Linked DNA regions of Cricetulus griseus. The protein of the gene in region 1 interacts with the protein of each later gene in a pairwise test. Links are inferred from orthologs where the notes say so. Each region holds a gene or a part of one and is shown in the gene's direction. Other genes may lie near its edges.

Region 1 (3,952 bases):
TTTCTACTGGGGAGGGGTTCAGCCATGTGTGTGTGGGGGGGAGATCAAAGCATGACAGATGACCATTTTTTGCCTCCATCAATGTACCTAGGCAATAGACAAGTTTGAAGTGAATTGCCTGCTGCGAGGGCAAAATGTTCCTCCAGTCAGGGGAAGAAATGAGAACAATGAAAGGTGTACTCGCTTGTAAAGGTCCCATATGCTATTCAAGGACTCATTTGGGAATCTTTCCACAATGAAATTATTCCATTAAAAGGTGTCGCTGCATTTGCCAGGAGAGGATGAAACACCTGAAAAGACAAAAAGGATTCTGTGACCAGATAGAAACAAGAGGAAAGCAGAGCTAATAGCTTGTTAAATACTGGTTTTTCAACATCCTCCTCCGCCTTTTCAAACCCCAGCTTATTTCTTATGAATGCTGTATAGCGGCACCAGCTTGATGGGAGAGGGTTTGATGAATAGCACAAAGACACTGGGTTTTCCCTGGAGGCTGTCCCTTTAAAAGAGACTCCTAGTTCATTCTGGGGGAGGGGATACACATATTAGAGTAGGAAAAAAAGATTTGGAATAAAATTAAAATATCCTTCTTCCTAGTCATTGTATTGTGATGCAAAGACTGCTTCCTAAGCTGGAGATGCTAACCTTGGCTAGTTCCCTGTTTCTCTTCAAGGGGAATTTTGTCAGGCTAGGGATTTATTTACAACTGTTAGTCATGTGGCCATGTGTGAAGTAGCAGATGCCAGTTTTAATGTATTTTGCCCCAAGTTACAATTTGATAGGAGCCACTGTCAGTAAGTTCCAGGGTTTTAAGCTATTTCAACACCTCCTCCCAAATTTGGAACAGTGCCAAAAGTGCCACCCTTTCTATCTCTTGCTCCTGTCCCCCTCCCCAGCATCCAGTCCAACTGCCCAGCCCCCTCCTCCTTTTCTATTAAGATCAATATTCCTGCAGGTCAGGGACAAGCAGCAGATGGGTCACGGGCTTTTTTCAACCAGTTCTTTTCACAGGCAGCAGATTGCAGCTCTGGATCTGGCTAATATTTGAATTCCTTTTTTTTTTCTCTTACCCTTCCTTATTCTTTGCCTCTCCTTATCCCCACCCCTTTCTCTAACAATCAGGTTGCTGTGATTCCAATAAAATATGGAACTTGATTTTGGACATTTTGATGAAAGAGATAAGGCATCCAGGAATATGAGAGGAACACGGATGAATGGTCTTCCAAGTCCTACTCATAGTGCCCACTGTAGCTTCTACAGAACCAGAACCCTGCAGGCACTAAGTAACGAGAAGAAGGCCAAGAAGGTACGTTTCTATCGCAATGGGGATCGATACTTCAAGGGAATTGTGTACGCTGTTTCTTCTGACCGTTTCCGTAGTTTTGACGCTTTGCTGGCTGACCTGACTCGATCCTTGTCGGACAACATCAATCTGCCTCAGGGAGTGCGCTATATTTACACCATCGATGGATCCAAGAAAATCGGAAGCATGGATGAACTGGAAGAAGGTAATTTAAGTAGTGGGTGGCGGCCCCTGGAGGGAAAGGATGTTCTTGTTTATGATTGCATTTTTAGTCTTCTTTGAAAGAAACTAGGCTATTTGTCTGACAAAACATTAGGTTGACTGATGCTCAGGCTTCTGATTACAAAGTCACCAACAGGGACCATTAGCTGTCGCTCTTCATGGGGTTCCATCTCTGCTGAGGTTGAAATTTACATGGGTTTGCTAATGCTAGATATGCTTATCTGCCTGGTTATACAAAGGAAAATCTGAATTGTGACATTCAATCTAGGTCTTGTTCCTAATTAACTCTGTGTGGCAGCATCAAAGCAAGCCATGAAATCATTAGGGGAAGGAAGAATGGTTGGCTTAGCAGATAAAACAATTGTGCCCATATTTCCTATGAACTGCTAAGAAGTTGCTTGGGAATTGGTGCTCTTTAGAAATACATGCCCCAATGCAGGACTTCCTGGATATGTTCGCAGAGGATTAGACTTTTAGGTAAGTGGTGGCTGCTCAGCTGTTGCTTCTAAAAAGCTCACTTCAGGGTGTGTCTGACAGGCTGAGATCATTGGGAGAAATTCGGAAGAAAGCTGTAGGTATGTCTGGTATTTTAATGAACACCATTTCTATTAGAATAGGAATGAGTCACTCTACCTAAATCCTTTCAGATCCTCTCTATAGTTTGGAATTGCAACTGAATATTATGAGTTGGCAGCTGAAAACCTTGACAACCTGTGGACCCACGTGATAATAGAGAAAAATCCATTTTCTTTTTTTTGTATATTTAGAAAATCTCGTGTCATATTGTTAACATTTTATATTGCCATATAAATTATTGTAATCAATTTAACCCATAGCTACTTTAAAAGGATAGCCTCAAGGAATAGAGACAATGAAAATGTTCTTCCAGTCTTTCCTACATTATTCAGCTCTCCCTCCCTCCCCCAATGCCCCCAATCTCTGAGCAGAGGTGAGTCAGTGCAAACAGATCTCTAGGGAATCTAGATTATAAATAACCAACAAGGAAAGAGAAACAGTGCATTTGGTGACTTCGTAGGAGTACCCCAGCTCTGCTTCACTGTGTCGAGGTTTCCTGTGTTCCTAGACAAAGGGACATGAAGGTTTCCCTTATTTCCCTATTTCCTTCATGTAGTTGTGGTTCAAAGTAGTAATGTAAAGTGATTTGGGCATAGTGGTTCCAGCTGAATCTTAATGATTCAAATCTAAGAGTTTTCTACATAGCTGACCTTGAAAATCCACTCGGAGGGGGATGATTCCATCATATACAGAGAGGATAGGCAAACACTGATACTAGACTTTCATGATCATCAAAGGGTTAATTGTTCTAGTGCATATCTGAAAATAAAAGGAGGCCAGTTGGGGTCAATTCCAAATCTGCATGCTCTGTCGAGGGAGCTGTCCAACAATCAATAAGGTGTGTGTCTTCAGTTGCTGTGAAATCTATATCTCAGTCAAAGTTGAGGGATTTCTCTGTAATACCTTTTACAAACAAAGCACACTGATTCTCCCAGTTTGTCTTAATATCCACTATCTATGAACACTCAAAGTCCATAATACACACTAGGTCAGAATCTGAACTAGAGATAGTATTCTGAGTAAGAGTGAAAATGTTATATTTAATATCAGTGTTTTGCACAGATTTCCCTCAATCAATGTTTTACAAATTTGCCCCCACCCGTGTGTGTGTGTGTGTGTGTGTGTGTGTGTGTGTGTGTGTGTGTGCACTGAGAAAAAGTTTATGATAAACCATATCAATCTAGTCTGTGCAGGTGATCAGTATGATTTTTCAAAACAGACCACAGCTTTATTCCCACCTGTGTTCTCCTGGTTCCTGCTAAACTGGGCCCAAATACCACTTCTGGGTGCAGTGGCATTTCCTGATGTTTCCAAACAGTATAGAATCTGATCTGGATAGGGATCAATTAAAGTTTCTCATCTTGTCTTCTTACAAGCCCCAAGCAACAGTGCCAACGCTTTTTCAGTCATATGTTGAGAAAAATCCAGCGCTATTTCTGGGGGAGTATTGATAATGTGATAATTTTTCCAACTAACATATAGATAAGTGGAAGTGCAACTGGCATGAGGAAGATCCGGAAAGGGCTTTCTTTGCTCTTCATTTTGTCAGAGTTTCTTATCTAGAGTAAAAGGTCAGAAATCCCTTTATTTTGTTTACTTCTAGAAGAACGTGGATAGAAGAGCAAAAATTATTAATGTACACTGTTTCCAGTTAAGATTTAAACTGAGGATGTTGGAAAGATTCCTCGTGAAGAATAAGGAATTTTGGGTTCTCATCTTGGAGCAGATTAAATGGAAAATGAAATATTGGGAATGAGATTTGTTTCAAATTCAGATCAGTTAGCTTCTAGCCTGTAGAAACTTGAGGAAATCAGTTTTTTAGATCTATACAATGAAAGCAATTGCTCTGAGAAT
Region 2 (3,992 bases), on another chromosome or scaffold:
TGGGGTGGCCGGTGGCCGCCGAGCCTTCCCCTTCCCCACCAGGTCCTGTAGACTCTTTTGCATCATTGCTAAGAGGGTTGAGCCCTGCAGTTCTAAGGCGGTGGCGACTGTAAACTTGGTTCTGGAGCCAACACGGTGATGGGCAAGAGTTGGACTTGGAGTTGGGACCCGCCCGTGGCTATGTCTGGACAACCGGGCAACCCAGGTGAGACGACCACTAGGCCGCATTTCCTTCTCATTGTGAAGCTTGCATTTGGGTTCCATTCGATTCAAACGGCTTTGTTTGTATTCTGACAAAGTTTGTCTGCAGATCAGAGGGCAGAGGTAGCCACTAGTTATCTGTAGAGACCAGGCAGGCAGTGGTGCCACACACTTTTAATCCCGGCACTAGGGAGGTGGAGACAGGATTCACCCTGCCCAATTAGGTCTGAGGATTCCTAGAGGAAAGAAGTGACTATGGCTGCTGCTTTGCTTCTCTGATCTTTCAGCGTTTCCTCCATATCTGACCCCGGGTTTTTATTGTTAAGACTAATTAGGATCGCGCTTCAGCTTCTTGGGATTTCGTTTTTCTCTTTCCCCAAATCTACAAGTTGGGAACTACCTCCAGGGCGATGCTTGAGGGAGCCTCAGTGGGGATCAACGTCAGACACCCTGGTCCCGCAGGGTGGGAAAGCTGTCAGCACCAGCCAATGGAGGGGCACAGGGCCGGCAGTCTTCGTTGTGATTGGCTCAACTAGACGGAAAACCCTAGCTTTGCCATCCATGGTGGATTTTGATTGGGTGTGACACAAAGTCGCTTCGCTACAGCTCAAACCTGGTGTTGCTTAGTGATAGATCCCGCCTTCGAGGGCCTTTGAGAACGACTTTACATGCTGTAAAGCAAACTGCGATTGGTCAGAGCGCTCACGGATGCTTTGGTAGTAAACACAGCCCCGTTCCTGGGACCGCGGATTGGTCAGGTTTTTCAGACGCCACTCCTTGCCGTGGCACCGCCCTCCCTCCTGCTGATTGGCCATGGGCGGTTTATGAGGGCGGGGATATGTACCACCTCACATCCGTTTACTGTTGGCCGCCGCCGGGTTCGCAAAGAACCGCGCGAACCGGCAGAAGGAGCCGGGAGAGAGAGGCGGGGCGGGCTCGGGGCAGGCTCGGGGGCGGGGGCGGGGCGGGCGGAAGTCCCAGCCGGGAAGCCAGTCTGGACCTTCCCGCCTCCTTCCACGGGGTCGGTCCGAGCGGAGGAGGGTCACCGCCTCCTCCTGCGCGGAGAAGGGGGGCGGAGCCCGACTCAGGTGAGGCGACCCTATCAGCTGGAGTGGCCTTGGCTCGCGCGCGCGCGCGCGCTCACGCGCAGGCGGTTGAGCGCCGGGAGCGCGCCGAGGCTAGGGGAGCGCGCAGACACGTCCCGGTGCCGCTGGTCCACCCTGTCTTGCTGCTGAGGGGTATTGTTACCCTTCGCCTCGGTGGGGCCAGGCGGGTGGGAGCGGGGTTCTTGTGCGCAGGCGTCCCCCGTGTCCCGACGCCCGGCTGTCTGCGCGGGGTGGGGCAGGGGCTGGTGCCCTGCGCATCTCCCACCGGAGATGGAGCCTCCGGGATGCTGTGGGAACGGGCTCCCGATCTGCATCCTGGCGGGATGAGCCGAGCAGCGGCTGCCCGGTGGGATGGAGGCGAGTGGCTCTCCTACCCCTGTCCTGGGTCCTTGTGAACGATGAGGTTTCGTTTCATCAGAGCAAGGCCACAAGCGGTCTGGATTCGGGAGCCAGCGGCCGACTACAGGGGTGGAGCCATCATTAGGGAATGCCCCAACTTGTTAGACAAAAGTGTTTAGTAGGCATTTATTGAATGCCCACTTCTTACAGGCTTCGTGCGAGCAGCTGTGGGATGCGGTGGTAAGAGACAGCCGTCCCATCTTCTCCCCCTGGGGACCGACTGCTTTGCATGTAAACAACAGGAGGAATAAGGCAGTGGGCTAATTAGGGGGCTTGGAGGTTAGGGTTTTTGTTTTGTTATTCTAAAGTGCCACTCACTACGGTCAGTCTCTGTCCTAGCATAGTGGAGGGTACTGTAGGAGCCACATTTTGGTTATTTAAGTCAATAAAACAAACTCATCACTTTCAAAGCTTGAAACAAAAACATTAACAAAATGTGTTGATGTTAAGTCTTTGTATGAGGTGCTGTGCTTTACATGATTTTGAAGGTGGACCGGGCACTTCATTGTTTTACTAGAGATTTTGTTTTCATTTGCCAAAAAAGTCTTGCGGTTGGCAGTAAGCTAAAGTTGTGTCGAGGGGAGAGTACAGATGGGCCAAGGAGAGAGTTTAGAGAAAACTCCCTAAGCTAAAAGAAGGCCTTCCACTGATCGCCTTAACCCTTCTGGAAATCTCAGCAAGCTTGGGAAGACAGACCTGGCCACTGCCACAGACTTGGTGACCTGCCAGGTAAAGTTAAAATTAAGGACTCATTCTGGGCTCTTGGGTTTTGCTAAATAAATGAATCAAGACTTTTTGAATAGTTTGTTTTCAGGAGAATTGATTCTTTTTTTTTTTCTCTAAAAGTTGTGTGGAAACAAAACTTTGTGTCTGTTGGGAATTTAGCCACTTTTATTCTGGGTAAATGAATGTGTCTCCAGCAGAATTTTGCCGAATCGATGAGCAGAGAGATTTTGGGGGAAAGTATTTTGTAGATGGGTATTTTCCTAATTTTAGGAGTCAGTGTGTTCAGAAGGGGCTGCTCAAGACTATCCAAGTGGAAGGATTAAAATAATTGGACAGTAAAATGCATCTATTTTAGTATTTGAAGCTCTTAGCATTAATTCTGTTAGACACCTAACAATACCCTGTGTTCAGTGAGAGTGACAGAAGGTCTGGTGCTGACAGAGCCTTGAGTCTGCCTCCAGTTTTCTTAAGGAAGGGGGAAAAGAATCCAAAATACAGATTCCATGTCAACTTTCAACTCAACTAATTTTTCAAAATGTAAATTACCTATAAGTACGTCTTACCACTGTGATTTTGAGCACATGACTGTGCACTTGCCCTTTTTTAAGTAGGGATGTTGTCTGCTGGAGGCTGTGTTCCTCAGTGTAGCAGGTGAGATGGAACGTAACACTACATGGCACCTTTTGTCTGGCACAAGACCAGATGTTTCCAAGAAAACCCCTGCTCTTCACAGTTTCCTGGGAGTGCCTTTGATTTCATTTATTATCATTCTGTTTTCTAGAAAATTTTTATTGTGGGAACTGGAAGGATGGCTGAGCAGCTAATAGCATCTCCTGCTCTTCCTGATGCCCAGGGTTGAGCTCCGCACCCACTGTTGGTTCACATTTGTCTGTAACTGCAGTCCCAAGGGATCCAGTGCCTTTGCCTGGCCTCATACACATGGTGCACAGACATACTTGCAGGAAAAACACCCATATGTGTAAAATAAAAATAAGGAAAACCTTTCAAATCCTTTTGTTATTGGCCTGAACAGATTAGAAAGTATGTTGGAGCACTAACTTGATTGTAACACAGAAGAGATGGTAGGTTCTTAGTGTTTAAGCTTATTTTAGCTATAGATAATTTTCCTTTTGAATATGTTATGGTTCCAGTAGTTCCTTAATTCGATTCTAAAACTATCTTTTAAAAAGAATAATTTATTTTTACTTTATGTGCACTGGTGTTTTGTCTACGTGTATGTCTGTGTGAAGGTGTCAGTTCCCCTGAAATTGGAGTTACAGGCAGTTTTGAGCTGCCATGTGGGTGCTAGGAACTGCACCTGGGTCCTCTGGGAGAGCAGCCAATGCTCTTAACAGCTGAGCCATCTTTCCAGCCCTAAAACTTGTTTTATTACATTTTACTTTCTTTGAAGATAGGATGGCATAAGTAAGCTTAACTGATAATGTTTATTCAGATATGTATGGTAGCTTACACCTTCAATTCCAGCAGTCTGGACACTGGGGCAGGAGACCCTGCCCCAAAGAAAAAAAATTGACAACTTTCTTCTTTTCTTGTGTTACA

The links. The genes of interacting proteins can lie anywhere in the genome.
Region 2: the proteins of Dcx (region 1) and Zbtb5 interact in binary tests that used the Homo sapiens proteins (3 or more experiments, as listed by UniProt). The two-hybrid records come from large-scale screens. The link is inferred for Cricetulus griseus from reciprocal best matches to the Homo sapiens genes DCX and ZBTB5.

What each region holds. Positions count from the first base shown.
Region 1 is NC_048604.1:36,707,738-36,711,689, forward strand, and holds the start of Dcx (neuronal migration protein doublecortin), read left to right. Parts: upstream 1-1,141; coding exon 1,142-1,505; intron 1,506-3,952. UniProt on the Homo sapiens protein: Microtubule-associated protein required for initial steps of neuronal dispersion and cortex lamination during cerebral cortex development. May act by competing with the putative neuronal protein kinase DCLK1 in binding to a target protein.
Region 2 is NC_048595.1:98,439,814-98,443,805, forward strand, and holds the start of Zbtb5 (zinc finger and BTB domain-containing protein 5), read left to right. Parts: upstream 1-1,184; 5' UTR 1,185-1,289; intron 1,290-1,359; exon of another isoform or gene 1,360-1,856; 5' UTR 1,857-2,435; intron 2,436-3,992. UniProt on the Homo sapiens protein: May be involved in transcriptional regulation.